Linked DNA regions of Arabidopsis thaliana. The protein of the gene in region 3 interacts with the protein of the main gene of each other region in a pairwise test. Each region holds a gene or a part of one and is shown on either strand. Other genes may lie near its edges. The genes, in order: PLIM2b, XERICO, BPC7 and GATA6.

Region 1 (4,040 bases), on a different chromosome or scaffold from region 3:
TATCGGAAATCAAATAAAAAAAGTAGCCTTACTTTATTCCTCGAACCTTATATACAACTCCTGTGAAGCAAAACGAAATTCCACACATTCAGACGACCAAGATAAAAAAAATCAACGACAAGCCACGGACAGATAGAGAGGCTAACCAATCATGGAAAGTTGAGTAAGAATGGAAGAAAGGTGGAAACGGAAAGGAGTGGCTCTCGTCTTCAATTCCGTTCGTTTCAAACAGATAATTTTGGCTCGTCTCTTCAAATTTTCCCAGTCAAACAACTTTCTCTGTCTCCTCCTTTTTGAGTTTCTCGCCAACCAGACATCATTGCTAAGGCCGTTTTTAGATACTTTTACGAAAACACCCTCTCTCACCTAACGAAATAATGAATGATTCACATCACCCGATAACCACTTGGTTTGATCCGGTATATAAGTAGTTTGGTATCTTTGAACCGAACAGATATTACATCGAATATCATCATCACCATCGGAAAGCATATCATAAGCAGCACACATAGAGTGAAAAAACATCAATTCTTGCCTTTTTTTCGTGTGTAATAATAAATGTATAACGAATGAATTAAAAAAATAACAAAAAAAATCATGTCTTCATATGGAAACAACTCATTACAAATGAAATCAAATCTTTCCCCCGCAACAACATTCATTCAATCATTCACTCAAAAACACTCATGTAAGAGATATTCAAGACTCTGAAACGCCATTCTCTTCCTTGGCCTCCACGGCGACGTCTTCGGTAGGTTCCGGTGGAAGAGTGTTGCCTGAGGCTGTGCGACGGTGATTGGCGGCTTGGAGGACGTGAGCGTAGTTTCCTTTCTCCATGAAGAGTTGGTTAAAGTGATGTCGGCAATAGAGAACGCTATCTAAGGAGGCGTAGGAGGAGTGAGTCAGCGTACACCCACCGTGAGCGCACCGGAAACATGTCTTGTGGAAGCATTCTCCTTCCATTTGTATCTGTTACCAAATAACCCGATTAGAACCAAGCCAAAATTGATTCCACATTTGCTTGGACCAACCAACATCACGTTCTCAAATCGAACCAAAAGTATACTAAACCAAACCAAAATCAAAATTTTATTTCCATTTGATCTAGTAATGATTTTATCCGAACAGAAAAATTCTACGGAAATGAAAAAACAAAAAACAAATTCTAGAGCAAATAAATTTCTCTACGAGACTAGTTCGTTGGTATTTTAGGCCATGAGAACATTTGCAGATGCGTATACCACTAACCTTTTCAAGAGGGTAAACAGTTTTTTCGCAAGCGGCACACTTGTCTTGTGTTCCACAGAAGATGGAAGATATCTTGCTGGGAGTCCTAGTCTGTAATGTTTAAATCAGTACACAGATCCTATTAGTCGATCATAAAAGAAAGAAAATGAAATATTGACACGCTAATCATATACAAGGACATGTAATGATGAACCTACCAGCTCTGGCTTCTCAGTTTTTCCTGAGAAAAGAAAGAGACTTGTTATGATCATGATGATTTGAAAGATAGAGAGATTCGATGTCAGAGATTTTATAATACGAACCTGGTTGAAAGTTTTTGCTGAAATTGCCAGATTCCTTGAAGAGTTGCTCAAAATGAGTCTTGCAGTACAAAACTCCGTCCATGGAGGAATAGTTGCTCATCTGCCATCAACACATAGATAAATTGTTGATATAATATGATCATAGAAGATCTAACAAGAAAATGAGTAATGAGTGCACCTGAAGGGTTCCTTTGCAATGGGTACACCTGAAGCAAGACTTGTGGTAAGGCATTCCTTCAATGGACAACATGTCCACCACATAGACTGTCTTATCACAAACATTGCATTTGTCGAGAGTTCCTGTGAAAGACATTTTTTTTGTTTTATCTTTTTTTTTTTTGGTTTTTTTTTGGTTGTTGTTGTTTCCTTCCTTCTCCAAGATCCTGTATGAAACAGATTTTTTAATTTTTTTTCCAACAAATCAAGAGGTCATCTGAGGAATTAGTTAAAGAAGGAAACCTTTACCTCAGACAACGGAGGAACCTGCGAAATTTCTGTCCTCTTTTATATGAAACTTTGTTGCAATTGTGAGGTTGTAACGGAGGAAGGTTTTTTCCTTTTTTTCTTTCTCTCTCTCTCTCTCTCTCTCTTTGATCTTTTTTGCAAAATGAATGAGATAAAATTGGGTGGCAAAGTGATTGGAGTTGAGCAAAAGAAGGGTTGTGGTTTCTGACAATTTCAATCCAATAAGGGATTGTTACTTTAAGCCAACTGTCTCTGAGGTGGTGCAACCCATGTCAGTCAGATCCTGCAAAAGAATATAACAACAACCTAACATTACACAAATATATAATATCATTCTCTCTCAATCAAAACAATGCTTTTAATACTTATCTGTATGCGTATCTATCAAGATATCCAGTTGTAAATTAAAGTAATTTTAATGTATAGAAGTAAAAGAAAGTGAAGCACCACTAAGTCGATTCCTTCTTTTTCTATTATCTTTTAGAACTATAGTGTAGTTCAAGTCTCCCTTTTTATTAACATATTACCACAGAATTTGAATAGAAAAATCTGATATGCAAAGTTAAAGTAGTCTTACAACACAACTTGTTGACACAAGATGAGATCTGAGATTGTCTTTCCGTGTCGGTCGATCCTCCTGGAACAGTTGACTCCACCATCTAATATGTTCCGTACGACAACATTCATAGCATGAATGCCTTCAACGTCATATATCTCTACTGACACATTTTCATCCATTGGTTTTGCATCCAATTCCAGAAACGAAGAGGTTGATAACAGAACTGACATCACATGCTTTACCCATTGAGGAGTAATTATGAGTTTCAGACGCTCGACATCTGGGGAATAATGCGGGATTATTGAGAAGTTTATGTCGTTTCCTTTATCGCCAGCCCGGCTATGTGCAACAGAGTAGAGTGGGATCTTTTGGCCAGATGGAGCAGGAGAGTGATGAAATCCAGATTGATAGCCTCTCATTGTAAGGTTCTTTGGATTTTCCTTAGGTAACTACAAATGGAAGTAATAACAAGGTGTTAATACAAATGCACATGTTAGAGTTCTTTCACATTTTCAGCTTTCAAATAGTAAAACATATCTATCAGTCATCAGAGTTAGTTTGATGTTCGAACACACTAGGATTGATTCACCAAGGAATTTGAATTCAGGTCATGTTTATTTCCATTATCTATCAGTCATCACAATTAGTTTAGTAAGAACTCTCGAGCTAACCTTTGGCATTTTCTCTGGAGAATGATGTTCAGAGGTCTCTGGCTCTGAAGTGTTGGTGTGCTGAAGTCCAGTTTTCCACATTACAGATTCACGGCTGACCTGGATAACCAAACATATAACATCAGAATCCGTAAAATTGATTGATGCAAGGCTATATTAGTTTAAATTTTTTGATGGAGACGACCTACCAAACGCTTTTCAAGAACAATTTCCATCTTGTGTCCGGTACTGCATATAATTTACAAGCAGTTTTGTCAAACCAAAAAGACCACCCCGAATCTCATAACAAATAACTAGTTTCAATACATTGTCCCTAGTCATAAGATGTCTCAACTCAACAGGATTTGGTACTACTGTAAAGCTACAATTAGCATTGGATTGATATATGGAGCGAACATCAACGTGAAGAAATTACCTAATTCCACCACCACCAGCTGGTCCGTTTGTATATAGAGCAGTAAACTCTTTTGTTAACTGGACCGCATGTTCCTTCAGTTTAAAAAGACCATCCATACGTAATCTAATATCTCCACATGACTGCCAAGATTCAGTGCCGTTGCTTGTCGCCTTCAAGCTATCAACCCCAATCACATAAGAAAGAATACAATGGTTAACACCAGGAATGGTTTCTTCCATCCAAGATCGAACCTGAAAGAAAGAAGGAAAAAACACAAGTAAAATACGTACATACACTTGATAAGAAATGAACTCCAATTTAAGGCACCATAAGGAGTCATTTCAAGCGACGATGGGGCCAAAAAATGCTACTACATCATAGACATATTAATCATAGGC
Region 2 (3,791 bases), about 13 Mb from region 3:
TCTTGGTTATATATCATATCAGTTACTCACAACACCTAAAATCTCAATGGTATACACATTTTTCTACTCTTTGAATAACATTATATTTTCTTTATCTAATTTTACTTTTCTTTTTTACACCCCGAAACAAGTATTCGCTACGAAATTTATGGCGTTTTCTTTTCGAATTTTCGCCTTGAAATCTAGATCTTCCACCACCTGACAATACTACAAGCTGATTCCTAATGGGGAAAAATGTCAAAAAAATCACGAACTTTCAAATTTGGGATGATTTAATCTTGAACTTCACGTAAGACAAATAAATCGTAAAGTTTTTGTTGACTTTGGAAACAAATGACAAAGTTTTTGTTGACTTGCCATTTGAGTCATATCGTTAAATAGGTTAACAAAAATTTTTTACGGTGTTAATGTCTTATTTATTTGATCTGTTTGAACAAAACAACGTCGTTTATGGATACTAATGTCTTGTCTATTTCTTGCATTTTGTTTCTTTTTGGTTACGAAAAATGTAACTATTAAAATACTACTTTTTGATTAGCTTAGTTGCTCATAAGACTGAACATGAACTCTTAATCCACACACATACACATAGATTCAAGAAAACTGTGTTCAAACAAGAGCTCCATACACATGGGTATATATATATATGTACATCAGATTATCCCATCCCCGGTTTAAATCTGCTCGAGAATCAACCGCGATGCAACCTAATTCATAGTAAAAGTAGCTGTACACAACAAACACACTCAAACAAAAAACCTATACAGTGAAAAGCAGTCACCAAACATTAGAAGAAAGCTGATGGTCTTCTGGCACAACAACAAGAGGAGTCCTACACAATGGGCAAGTGATGTTCCAATAGTCTATCCATTTCTCCAAGCATGTTTTGTGAAACAAATGGCCGCACTTGAGCTTGTTGATCTCTGAATCCCCTTGGAATTTCGACAAACACACAGAACACTCATTGTCTGCCTGTTTCTTGCACCTGCACAAGCTCTCAAACCTCAGTGTCGGAGTCCGGTTCCTGAACTCCTCAAGGTAACTCTCTGGTTGGCAGACCCGGAAATCAAATGACTCTGAAGTTGATGAATTCTCTGAAGATACCGTCACCGAAGAAGGCGAGGATGAAGACGGCGAGAGACTGATTCCTACTATGCCAAGGAATGATCTTACAATGCCTTTGACAATGGAGATCGATAATGCTGTATTAACTAATATCACACATAACATTCCTTCTGATGGACCAGGAAGACTTGATAGACCCATCTTTCACTTGTTGGATTCGATATCAAATCTTTGTCGGTAGAAATGATGTTGTCTGAAAAACACCATTAAGGGCTATTAGCTCACAACATATGAAAACTTCAAGACATTCCAACCAAAGCACATAGATTTCAATGACAATCTATGATTAGTATGAGCAAGCAAGAGACTTGAAGGTCTCATATTATGATCCAGAAACAGAAATTAACTCTAAAGCTTAGCAAATCGAAACCAAAGCACAAAGCTTTAATTCAAATTAACACTAATCAGTATCAAAAGGATTCAAGAACAGATCTTTATTCAATTTCTACAACCATCAAACCAAAAGCTCAAGCCTTTGATTCGTACCAAACACAAAATCTGACTCTAAATCAAGAAACACAGATCAAAACCTCTAAAAGATGCAAACTTTATGAAACCAATTTGAAATCTCTTCACTCTGAATCAATTCTGGGGCTAAAAATTGGGGAAAAAAATCGAAACTTTAGTGAAAAGAGAGAAAAGTACGAACCTCTAGGGTCAAATATGAGAAGCGATCATCAACAATTTAGAAGAAAGATGCAAGTTTTTATTGGGTGTGAAAAGAACAAGTGATGATGGAATCTGAAAAAGTGTGTAGAGAGAGTTGGTTTTGATAAAAGAGGAGGTTCCAATTGTTGTTTAATATATAGCAAAGCAATTATCTTTTAACCAGAGAAGCTTAACTATGGTTAACTCTATTTCAGTCTTTCAGGTTTTTTTGATTAACCATGGTTACTTTATATCATCAATTGTACTTGCTTGCATTTTCTTATTTCATTTTGTTTATATTTATTACTTCATACACTGCCAAAATGATAATAATCCATGTTTCTTTAAGGAAAGATATTAATAAGTAGGGTCTTTTTATTGTTTATATATGTAATGCTTGGCACTATCTTTGTTTTTGTTTTTGTTTTTGTTTGTTTGTTAATGAGAATTTACTAGTGAATTTAATCCTTGTTTGCAACATATATATTTTTTTTTACTAACATTTGTTTATTTGATTAAAATAAAGTTACACTGCAACATTTTATGTTCTATTTACAGTGCAATATCACAATCCAAGTTTCTTTAAAGATACTCCTCTGTCTTTTTATAGTTGATGTTTAAGGATTCATTTATTTGTTTTTATTTCCAAACTAAAATTAATTTATTATCCATTTAATCGACCAATAGTAATACAATCTACAGGAAAAAAAAATACAATTTACAGAATAGAAACCTCTAAACCCAAAAAAGTATATTAATTAATTTTATATTGAAAGTTGAAAACATCATGTATTTTGTTCCTAAAACATCAAATATTTATCAAAACAATATTAGTGTTTTGTTATATTATGTGGTCAATGTAATCAAAAAATTATTCCTGTTCGGTAATTGTATTTCTGTACATAATATGCAATTTTTAAAGTCTATCATCAACGAAATAATATTTCGTGATATTTTTGGATATAATTACCCATATAGATTATATTCGATTTAAGGTATTTTATGTAAATATTCTTAGCATATGGTTGGCTTCAGGTATATTATGTTATTTATAGTTTGTAAATTTTCAGCTAAATTTTTTATTTAATATTTGAAAATATTTTACCTTTTGTTTTCGTATCCAATATATGTCTCAGTTTTTAAGCGAAAGTAAACTAAAAACCAATAAAATAGGGATTATATTTTTGCTTTAGTAGTCTATTTAAGTATCAAGTTATCAACTACGTACCATGAAAAAGGCCAATAAATAATATTGGAGATTTTAAAGACCAAAAACAAAAACATAGAAACACAAAATCAAATATAATTGTTTTTGTTAATTTTGGAAGTACAATAAGATTCAAACAAATTAAGAACCTAGTTAAGGAAAAAAATCGGAAACCATTACAGAGACTGTATTCTCTTTTAATATGAAAAAAATGAATGGAATAAAGATGAATGAAATATGGAAACTTACTGAATAATTTGATTTGATTCATTTGTATACAACACAACACAGAAAAACTTCTCTTTTAAATAAATCCATTTTCAGGTAATTAAAGGCTATTTCTTTTTATATTTTCAATGCAAAAAGGGAAATTTTAGCAAATTGCATATAAATATTTTGGTTTACCATATTAATCCATCTAACAAAAACTATCACTTGTACCCTAAGTATATATTTTTGTTGTTATCCTAGCTGAAGACTAATTTTACCAAACTTTTTGTTTTTAATATAAAGTCAATTTAAACACGGTGGATCTTGATGTAGTTGCTTAAGTTTAAGAAATTGAGATATTGTTTCAAAGATGGATGTGGATATATTTTTAATTTACTTGTAATGAAATAATTAGGGCTGCAAAAAAAACCCAGACCCAATATCGAAATCGATACCCGGATAAAAATAATCGGGTTGAAGCGGATTAGACGAATAGGAAGTTACCTTATTAGGTATGGTTTTGGTAAACCTGTGGATATCGGTTCGGGTCGGAGATTACTCGATACTCAAACATGGTACCGATAAACCCGATATAAGACAT
Region 3 (3,912 bases):
CATTCCTAGCCACTGGGCAGATGTAGGAGAACTCAAGATTCCAAGGTTTAAATTTGATTTTGGTTTCGAAGCCTCTGAAGCTCTCAAGGGTTTGGGTTTGGAGGTGCCATCCACTATCATCCACAAATCTTGCATCGAAGTCGATGAAGTGGGATCGAAAGCTGCAGCGGCTGCTGTAATATTTGTTGGTTGTTGTGGTCCTGCGGAGAAGAGGTATGACTTCGTGGCTGATCATCCTTTCCTCTTCCTGGTCAAAGAATACAGAAGCGGACTAATTCTGTTCCTTGGTCAAGTCATGGATCCTTCTAAGCATTAATTTGAGGTCAAAAGTCTCGGGACTTTATGACTTTCTTGACGTATTTGCATCCATGCACAACTTGAGTTGAAAGTTGATTCTAAAGACTTTACTGAATCCTCGTTTTTTTCATCTTTTTAATAGATTTATCTCCTTTTAATTTGGTATGAGTGTGAAGTCACCTATAATATATATGATGACTGCCTAAGTTTAAGACCATCCCTGCAGGATATTCGTATGAAGTCAAAACAGAGTCTCTTGTTGATTCGCTAATATTCATTTCTTATTGAAATTTATTTGTGAATTCCAAAGCAATGTGTTGCATGACCGAAGTTACCCAAGTTCATGCCATAATGTGTTTCCACGACTGTTGGGATTTTTGCAGGAAATATACTCTACTTCAGGGGAAACAAGTAAAGGATACCTCTACTATAGCAAATACAGTACTCCCAAATATATACCAAAAGGCTAAGACTGTGAAAAGGACTTAAAAAGAAGCCACAAAAGCTAATATCTAAATCAAACCCAACTAATGAAACGACTACTTGATGGTCACAAACTTGTTAGTACCGTGTCTGGCCCAATGGTTCTTGAGATCAAGAGGGTGAGAGAGGTCATAGCCTTCGTCCGCAAGCCTCGCAAGGAGCTTAACATAAGCACCATTGCTCATTTTTCTTCCTGCAAGACGAGCTCCAGGTCTTGTTGTGCTCATGGGTAGTGGGTATGTCGATATGCTGATGGTACAACATGAGGATTGCCAACCGCCCATGCCCCATTTGTAGCAAACCCTTGAAACGCCTGTACATGAACATACAGGAGGAGGAACCCCAGAAGTATCAAAGCTTGAGATGTCAATGTTGATGTCCAGATTCTTTTTCTCACGTTTTGTTTCTGGTATGCTAGGTGTTTTCTTTGACTTGTTGGATACAGAGCGTTTCTTCCTTTGCGGTTTTGGCTTCAAAGCTTTCGAAGGAGACTGATTTACGGACTTCTGTTTCACAGTTTCAGTATCGTTTCTGGAATCTCTAATAGGAGGAGGAAACAAATGAGATTGAGGCACCATCACACCTTCAGCAGGAGGTTCCTGAGAAAGATCAATGCCTGTGGTCTTTGGAACGGCGATACATGAATGTAACCAATGAGCATTAGACGTACGCAAGCCTGAGTCCTTGTTTGCGTTTGTAGCAGATAGCATAAGGTTTTGTGCAGGAAATGAATTCATCTTGATAGCTAGTTTCAGTGGAAAGATCACACCTTCGCGTTGCAGCTCCTACATCATTTCAAAAGCAGATAAGATGAGCCAACACCTCCAAACAACAATTGATACTAAGTACTAACATTATTAAGCAACACACAGATGCAGAAGCAACCTACATGCTCTACTTACAGAGAATATAATCTATAGTTTACTTCCAGTATCAGTTTTCAATCAAAAGACAGAGATTTTACAAGACAGAATCTGATATGCATAAGTCTAAATAAGCAAACTTGATAATTGAAACCCAGATAGTCAGAACAGATAAAACAGAGATATAAAGACTACATACGTAGAGGAAAAGATTTGATCTTTCAAGATTGTTTGATTGAAAATCGGCAAACCCAGAAGAGTTAACGAAAGAAGAATCAAGACCCATATGCGGAAAAAATTAACTCGCTACAATAAACCATGCAAAATCAAAAACCTGTGACTAGGGTTCCAAAAGAATCATACGGCAGAAACAGAGTCGACACCAAAAAAAGAGTGATCTTTCGGCTTACGCAAACGAGAAAAATCGTCGGAGTTACCAGTGGCGACACTCCACCGCTATGCTCTCGCTCACTCTGCGCACTCTTTCTCTCTCAAACCTCTGATGGACGAAATAATTCACTTTGAGGCCTTGAGAATTTCTAGGGCTCACCGATTTTTAAACTCCGTTTCTTTTTGCCCCACGCGAAATTTATGCATATATTTTAAACAATATAAAATTCTTAAGTTTACAATTAGTCAATTAGATAATTAAACTTTGAAAATTTATTTTTTTGCCACTAAGATTTGGTAATATAACACAATATTTAACTTATCTATGCAATTTATAAACTTGTGGGAAAGTCTTTGGACTTTGGGTTTGGGCACTAAATATAGTTGATCTAAACTAATATGATTAAGTTAGACAAATATAGACATGAAGTGCTTGTTTCTCTTTGTCATGAGATGATGAGAAACAGAAAACAAAGAAGTGTCTATGTTCACTAAGTGGCAGAAACCAAATCAGGAGGAACAGAAGCAAGATCAAGCACCCAAGACTCTTTCAGATCAGCTCCAGATTCATCTTCAGGCAGCTTCTTGGCCGGAATCTGATGAGAGAGCAAGGCTGCAACATCTTCTTTCTCGACCCACCTGACTGCATTATACCCGTAATCCCGTCTCTTGAACAGGTTGCTATAGTCGTTAACCTTCTCCAAATATGCTACACTTAATCCATATGCATCAGTATACATTGTCAAGCATACGACAATCTCATAGCGTCTGGTCTTTCTTCTCTGAAGACCTGGATTTGTCTCTGAGTAGACTGCCCAAACCGAGCCTTTCTTTGGATATATTTGGTATATTTCTCGTGCAGCCCTTTCGCAGTTGACAAGGTGAGAGAATGGTTTCACTTGTTCTATCAAAGCTTTCTCTGAAACCCGGAACCTACCACAAGGCATATGAGAAGAACTAATCTTCATCCAAGAGATTAGTTTCTCGCTCTCAAAATCCAACCAGCTGATCCATACCTTAAAAGGATTCAAAGAGACTACTTCACTAACTAAACAGTAACTCCGAGGCATTTTGTCATCACCACCATCATATATCGCCCAAATCTGCCCTTTCTTGAAGCTCCTCGGCATCCGGTCCTTATCAAAATCATACAGTTCAAAATCCTCGTCTTCCATATACATTTCTTGGCTTAACTTACCACGATCCCTCTTCCTATCAACCCGAGGCACGTATTCTAAATCCACTATCTCAGTTAAATCCTTGTGGTTCGCCATCTTCTTCTTCTTTATATTCTTCCTATTCTTTAAAACTTCTTGTTTATTATTCACTGCGTTAGTACTCATCTCCCTTAACGTTTCAGTCATGGAGGCATCAGCTAAAGATCTCTTCTGCGTTTCCCTTCCCATGTTTTCTTCTCCACTGCTATCTTTCTCAGTGATCTTCGAATTCACCTTCGACTTATTTCTCTTTATCACCGCTTGCATTTCTGCCAAAGTCATCATCCCTTCATCCTCTTCATCCGACCCCTCAAATACATTAATAGCTTCTGCTGCTTCCTGACTCATCTCCCCTGTCTCAACTTCTTTTATCAGACTTTCACCATCGCTATCAACAGGCCTCTTCCTCCTACTATATGTTATGATCTTGGAAGTACAAGCTCCATTTTCTCTACCCTCTTCTTCCTTCTCAACTTCCTTCGCCTCAAAACTATTCTTGCAAGTAGGGCACATCAAATTTTGTCCTAAATACTTCCTATCAAACTTATGCACCGACCTACAACCCGAACAAACCGCCGAAAACGTTGACGTTTCATCACCACCAGAACCACCGCTAACCATTTCCCCCTGAATCCTAATCCTCAACTTCATATCATACTCAG
Region 4 (4,180 bases), on a different chromosome or scaffold from region 3:
GTGCTGCAATCTACCAGAAACCTGCCACCAATGAATGTTACGAGAAAAGAAAGCACAACAAGCCTCCACTGTGCAAAAACAACGACGATGCAAATGCAGCCTGGTATGATTGTTTCCACAATTTGCATAGGGAATGAATAACCATAAGGTTTTAACAGAACAAAGAAAGTCAAAACTTGAATGGAAATTTCAGGTATGTACCCCTACAAGCATGTATGCATAAAGTTCCTACCAATGTGGTCGAGAGAGGAAGCAAGTGGCCCGTGAATTGGCCCCGTCGGCTTCAAACACCGCCTTACTGGTTAAACAGCTCTCAAATGGGGATATATGGGAAACCAGCTCCTCGAGATTTCACTACAGATTATGAACACTGGAAACATGTTGTAAGCAAAGTATACATGAATGAAATAGGAATCAGCTGGTCAAATGTGAGGAATGTAATGGACATGCGAGCTGTCTACGGAGGGTGAGCATCAACGAAAACAAATCAAACTAAAATCTCACTTACCAAAACTAAACCTTTTTTTACTAACTACGTAAAAATGCAGGTTTGCAGCAGCTCTGAAGGACCTACAGGTGTGGGTAATGAATGTAGTAAACATAAATTCACCAGATACACTACCGATAATCTACGAGAGAGGCCTATTCGGAATATATCATGACTGGTGTGAATCATTTAGCACATACCCTCGAAGCTATGATCTCTTACATGCAGATCATCTTTTCTCAAAGTTGAGAACAAGGTATAAGCGTAACTCATAATATCCACACCTTTTGGTAACGTTTCATCAACAATAAGTCTCTTGTTTTGTTTTGTTTTGAAAGGTGCAATCTTGTTCCAGTAATGGCAGAAGTGGATAGAATAGTAAGACCAGGAGGTAAACTAATAGTTCGTGACGAATCAAATGTGATAAGAGAAGTTGAGAACATGTTGAAGTCACTGCACTGGGATGTTCACTTAACTTTCTCCAAACACCAAGAAGGAATCTTAAGTGCACAAAAAGGATTCTGGAGACCAGAAACTTCTCAATGAAAGACGCTCTGAGAATCTGCATTTGAAAGTAGCAGAAGCATCATTATAATACAACACACTACTCATATCTATAATCCCCAAAAGAATTTGTCAGTATAAGAAATAGCTTTAGTCTTCTTAAACTATATAGACTAATTAGAACATTTTTGTTTTCCTTACTTCATATTGCTTTTTTTAACATGGTTATGATATTCTCTTGTAAGGCTATGAATCATTTCACTGGGAAAAGTAAGGCACACCAATAAATGAAATTTTGTTCCAACAAGTAGAAACATAGCAGTAATGAAGAAGAGATTATGATGCTTTAGCGATACCACAAGCCAAATTCACCATAAGCTATTGACAGGTAGCGAAAAGTCAAATTACAAAAGGAATAAAGTAGACATGAAATGAAACCAACAATCTTAAGCCCACATATGAATTCAAAAGAGAGGTTAAGAAAGAAGAGAATCTGACATCATGGGCAGAGTAGGAGCTGAAGAAGATGGGTTTCTGCAAATTTGAAGCTTTTAATCGCATATCGCTGAGTAATCATCACAAACAGTTTTGAATTGAAGAAGACGGGAGGAGAAAAGCCATTGTTAATGAGATACCCAAATCGTAAAATTTCAGAAAGCCCAGCCCAACATAGCCCAATACAGCCCAAATATGTATGTGATTGGGTAACGAAAACGAGACCGTTCTTTTTTCAGTCATCTCTCGTTTCACAGTAGCGCGTATGTACGCTTTGAATTTACAAAAAGTAGACATTTTTATGAATTTTTGCCGGTTGAGTAAAAAGGTAAAAAAAAATAGTTCCCACCAAAGCAAAATATTTCAATTTTTATCTTTTTTTTTTGGTTCTTGGGAAAATAAGAGATTGAGAAAGAATAAAGAAGAGAAACTCACAACTTTTTTAGTTTTAGGAGAAGAGGGCTTTGGTCTGGAGTCACTATCATATTCAATGCTTTACCAAACTCACCTCTTCTTCTAAATTCTCACCACTCTTCTTCTTCTTCTCATTCACCGACATATCTCCTCTCTTCACTCTCTGTCTCTTCTCATCTCAGGTAATTCCAATTTTAGTTTTTTTTGAAGGTTACTTACTCGTCACATTGTTTGAAAAAGATTGAATTTTTATCTGTGGCTTAGTCAAATCATGGTTCGTTTCACCAAGTTGTGGTTCTGGGTTTTCGTGATTTTTCTTTTGGGTTTTTCTGTTTGAATTTGGAAAAATAAAGGAACGTTTTTTTTTTCGGGGGGAGTTTTTTTTTTAAAGATAATTTTTGGAGAGTTTTTGATAATTCTGAGGAAGCCAAAAGAAAAGAAGAAAACCTAATTTGTGTTGGTGGGGTTTGATAGGAAATAATGGAGAGTGTTGAATTGACGTTGAAGAACAGTAACATGAAAGACAAAACCCTAACCGGCGGCGCTCAAAATGGCGATGATTTCTCCGTCGACGACTTGCTTGACTTCTCAAAAGAAGAAGAAGACGACGACGTTTTGGTTGAGGATGAGGCTGAATTGAAAGTACAACGAAAAAGAGGAGTCTCTGACGAAAATACCCTTCACCGGAGCAACGATTTCTCCACCGCTGATTTCCACACTAGCGGGCTTTCCGTTCCGGTATGAATTTGTGTTTTCATTTTCGCAAAATTTATAAAAATTATCAGTCATTGCATTGTTAATTTCTTGCTTTTCATGTTTTGATTGTTAGATGGATGATATAGCGGAACTTGAATGGTTATCAAATTTCGTAGATGATTCTTCTTTCACGCCGTATTCTGCTCCGACGAATAAACCGGTTTGGTTAACCGGAAATCGGAGACATCTTGTACAACCGGTTAAAGAGGAGACCTGCTTCAAATCCCAACATCCGGCCGTCAAAACCAGACCCAAACGAGCCAGAACCGGAGTCAGAGTCTGGTCTCATGGTTCGCAGTCGTTAACCGACTCATCTTCAAGCTCTACAACATCTTCGTCGTCCTCTCCTCGTCCTTCAAGCCCTCTATGGCTCGCCAGCGGTCAGTTTCTTGATGAGCCAATGACTAAAACACAAAAGAAGAAGAAAGTTTGGAAAAACGCTGGTCAGACGCAAACGCAAACGCAGACGCAGACGCGGCAGTGTGGTCATTGTGGAGTTCAGAAAACGCCGCAGTGGAGAGCAGGACCATTAGGAGCGAAGACGTTGTGTAATGCGTGTGGTGTGCGTTACAAATCGGGTCGGTTACTACCCGAATATAGACCCGCTTGTAGCCCAACATTTTCGAGTGAGCTTCACTCAAACCACCACAGTAAAGTCATTGAGATGCGTAGGAAGAAAGAGACTTCTGACGGTGCTGAAGAAACCGGTTTGAACCAGCCGGTTCAGACGGTTCAGGTTGTCTCGAGTTTTTGAAGAAATTGTGGAAGGTTTTTAAAGGAGCAGAATTAGGATCCGACCCGGTTCAGATTTATCACCAGTTAGTATGTTAACGGGTTATGTATGTTTTAAATTACAAATTTGATTTTTTGTTTGTTAGTCGTAGTAGGTTTTTAGATTTAGTAACTGGTTAAAACTTTTAAAACTCTTACTATTATATTTGTTTTGTTTCGCATTAATTTTCAGAATTCTTTTTTTCTTAACCTCCTCTAACGTTATATTTACGTTATAATATATAGTTTTTATATTAATTGATAGAGATGGTTCATTTTCTAGTTAGAATGTATGCTCAATAATTATTGGTAGACTGATAGTTATCAAGTGTATAAAATATGAGATCAATTTATACCAAATTAGGAGTAGGCTTTATTTCAGGGTTAGTAACTCCAATTTTTTGTTGTTACTTATTTATATCCATCACATTTTCTCTTGTATTTCTAAAATTGACATAATATAACTGAAAAAAAAAACAAATTTCACAAATAAAAATATATACAATAACTGAAAAAAGAAAAATAAACGTACTGGGCACACTCTCTTATTGACTAATTTATTACTCTGCGTATTTTTGGAGATTGAATACGACCTTAGTTGACGTGATAATATTATCCATTTTTGCAATGTGATAATATTCGTTGACCATATCTTTGAGATTATCACGAATTACCAATTTACCTTGGGACTTTATTCCTCGTATGGTTTTAGTTGAGTTGACTATTAATAATAGCTTTTAGTACGTGTTTCGT

The links.
Region 1: the proteins of BPC7 (region 3) and PLIM2b interact in a two-hybrid assay, tested with the Arabidopsis thaliana proteins (one large-scale study listed by BioGRID).
Region 2: the proteins of BPC7 (region 3) and XERICO interact in a two-hybrid assay, tested with the Arabidopsis thaliana proteins (one large-scale study listed by BioGRID).
Region 4: the proteins of BPC7 (region 3) and GATA6 interact in a two-hybrid assay, tested with the Arabidopsis thaliana proteins (one large-scale study listed by BioGRID).

What each region holds. Positions count from the first base shown.
Region 1 is NC_003070.9:280,742-284,781, reverse strand, and holds PLIM2b (GATA type zinc finger transcription factor family protein), read right to left. Parts: upstream 2,022-4,040; 5' UTR 1,864-2,021; coding exon 1,729-1,863; intron 1,651-1,728; coding exon 1,551-1,650; intron 1,469-1,550; coding exon 1,446-1,468; intron 1,339-1,445; coding exon 1,249-1,338; intron 970-1,248; coding exon 700-969; 3' UTR 537-699; downstream 1-536. Other genes in the region: KEA1 (K+ efflux antiporter 1), read right to left, coding at 1-1; AT1G01770 (propionyl-CoA carboxylase), read right to left, coding at 2,292-2,298, 2,593-3,023, 3,246-3,344, 3,434-3,473, 3,661-3,893. UniProt on the Arabidopsis thaliana protein: Binds to actin filaments and promotes cross-linking into thick bundles. Has an actin-stabilizing activity. The actin regulatory activities are inhibited by pH > 6.8 but are [Ca(2+)] independent.
Region 2 is NC_003071.7:1,461,039-1,464,829, forward strand, and holds XERICO (RING/U-box superfamily protein), read right to left. Parts: upstream 1,907-3,791; 5' UTR 1,775-1,906; exon of another isoform or gene 1,319-1,774; 5' UTR 1,267-1,318; coding exon 778-1,266; 3' UTR 510-777; downstream 1-509. UniProt on the Arabidopsis thaliana protein: Function on abscisic acid homeostasis at post-translational level, probably through ubiquitin/proteasome-dependent substrate-specific degradation.
Region 3 is NC_003071.7:14,927,543-14,931,454, reverse strand, and holds BPC7 (basic pentacysteine 7), read right to left. Parts: upstream 2,160-3,912; 5' UTR 1,930-2,159; coding exon 1,843-1,929; intron 1,566-1,842; coding exon 837-1,565; 3' UTR 787-836; coding exon of another isoform or gene 681-786; 3' UTR 563-680; downstream 1-562. Other genes in the region: AT2G35555 (serpin), read left to right, coding at 1-213, 681-786; AT2G35540 (DNAJ heat shock N-terminal domain-containing protein), read right to left, coding at 2,525-3,912. UniProt on the Arabidopsis thaliana protein: Transcriptional regulator that specifically binds to GA-rich elements (GAGA-repeats) present in regulatory sequences of genes involved in developmental processes.
Region 4 is NC_003074.8:18,971,259-18,975,438, forward strand, and holds GATA6 (GATA transcription factor 6), read left to right. Parts: upstream 1-1,867; 5' UTR 1,868-2,082; intron 2,083-2,374; 5' UTR 2,375-2,380; coding exon 2,381-2,638; intron 2,639-2,729; coding exon 2,730-3,410; 3' UTR 3,411-3,634; downstream 3,635-4,180. Other genes in the region: AT3G51070 (S-adenosyl-L-methionine-dependent methyltransferases superfamily protein), read left to right, coding at 1-103, 194-466, 549-743, 826-1,033. UniProt on the Arabidopsis thaliana protein: Transcriptional activator that specifically binds 5'-GATA-3' or 5'-GAT-3' motifs within gene promoters. May be involved in the regulation of some light-responsive genes.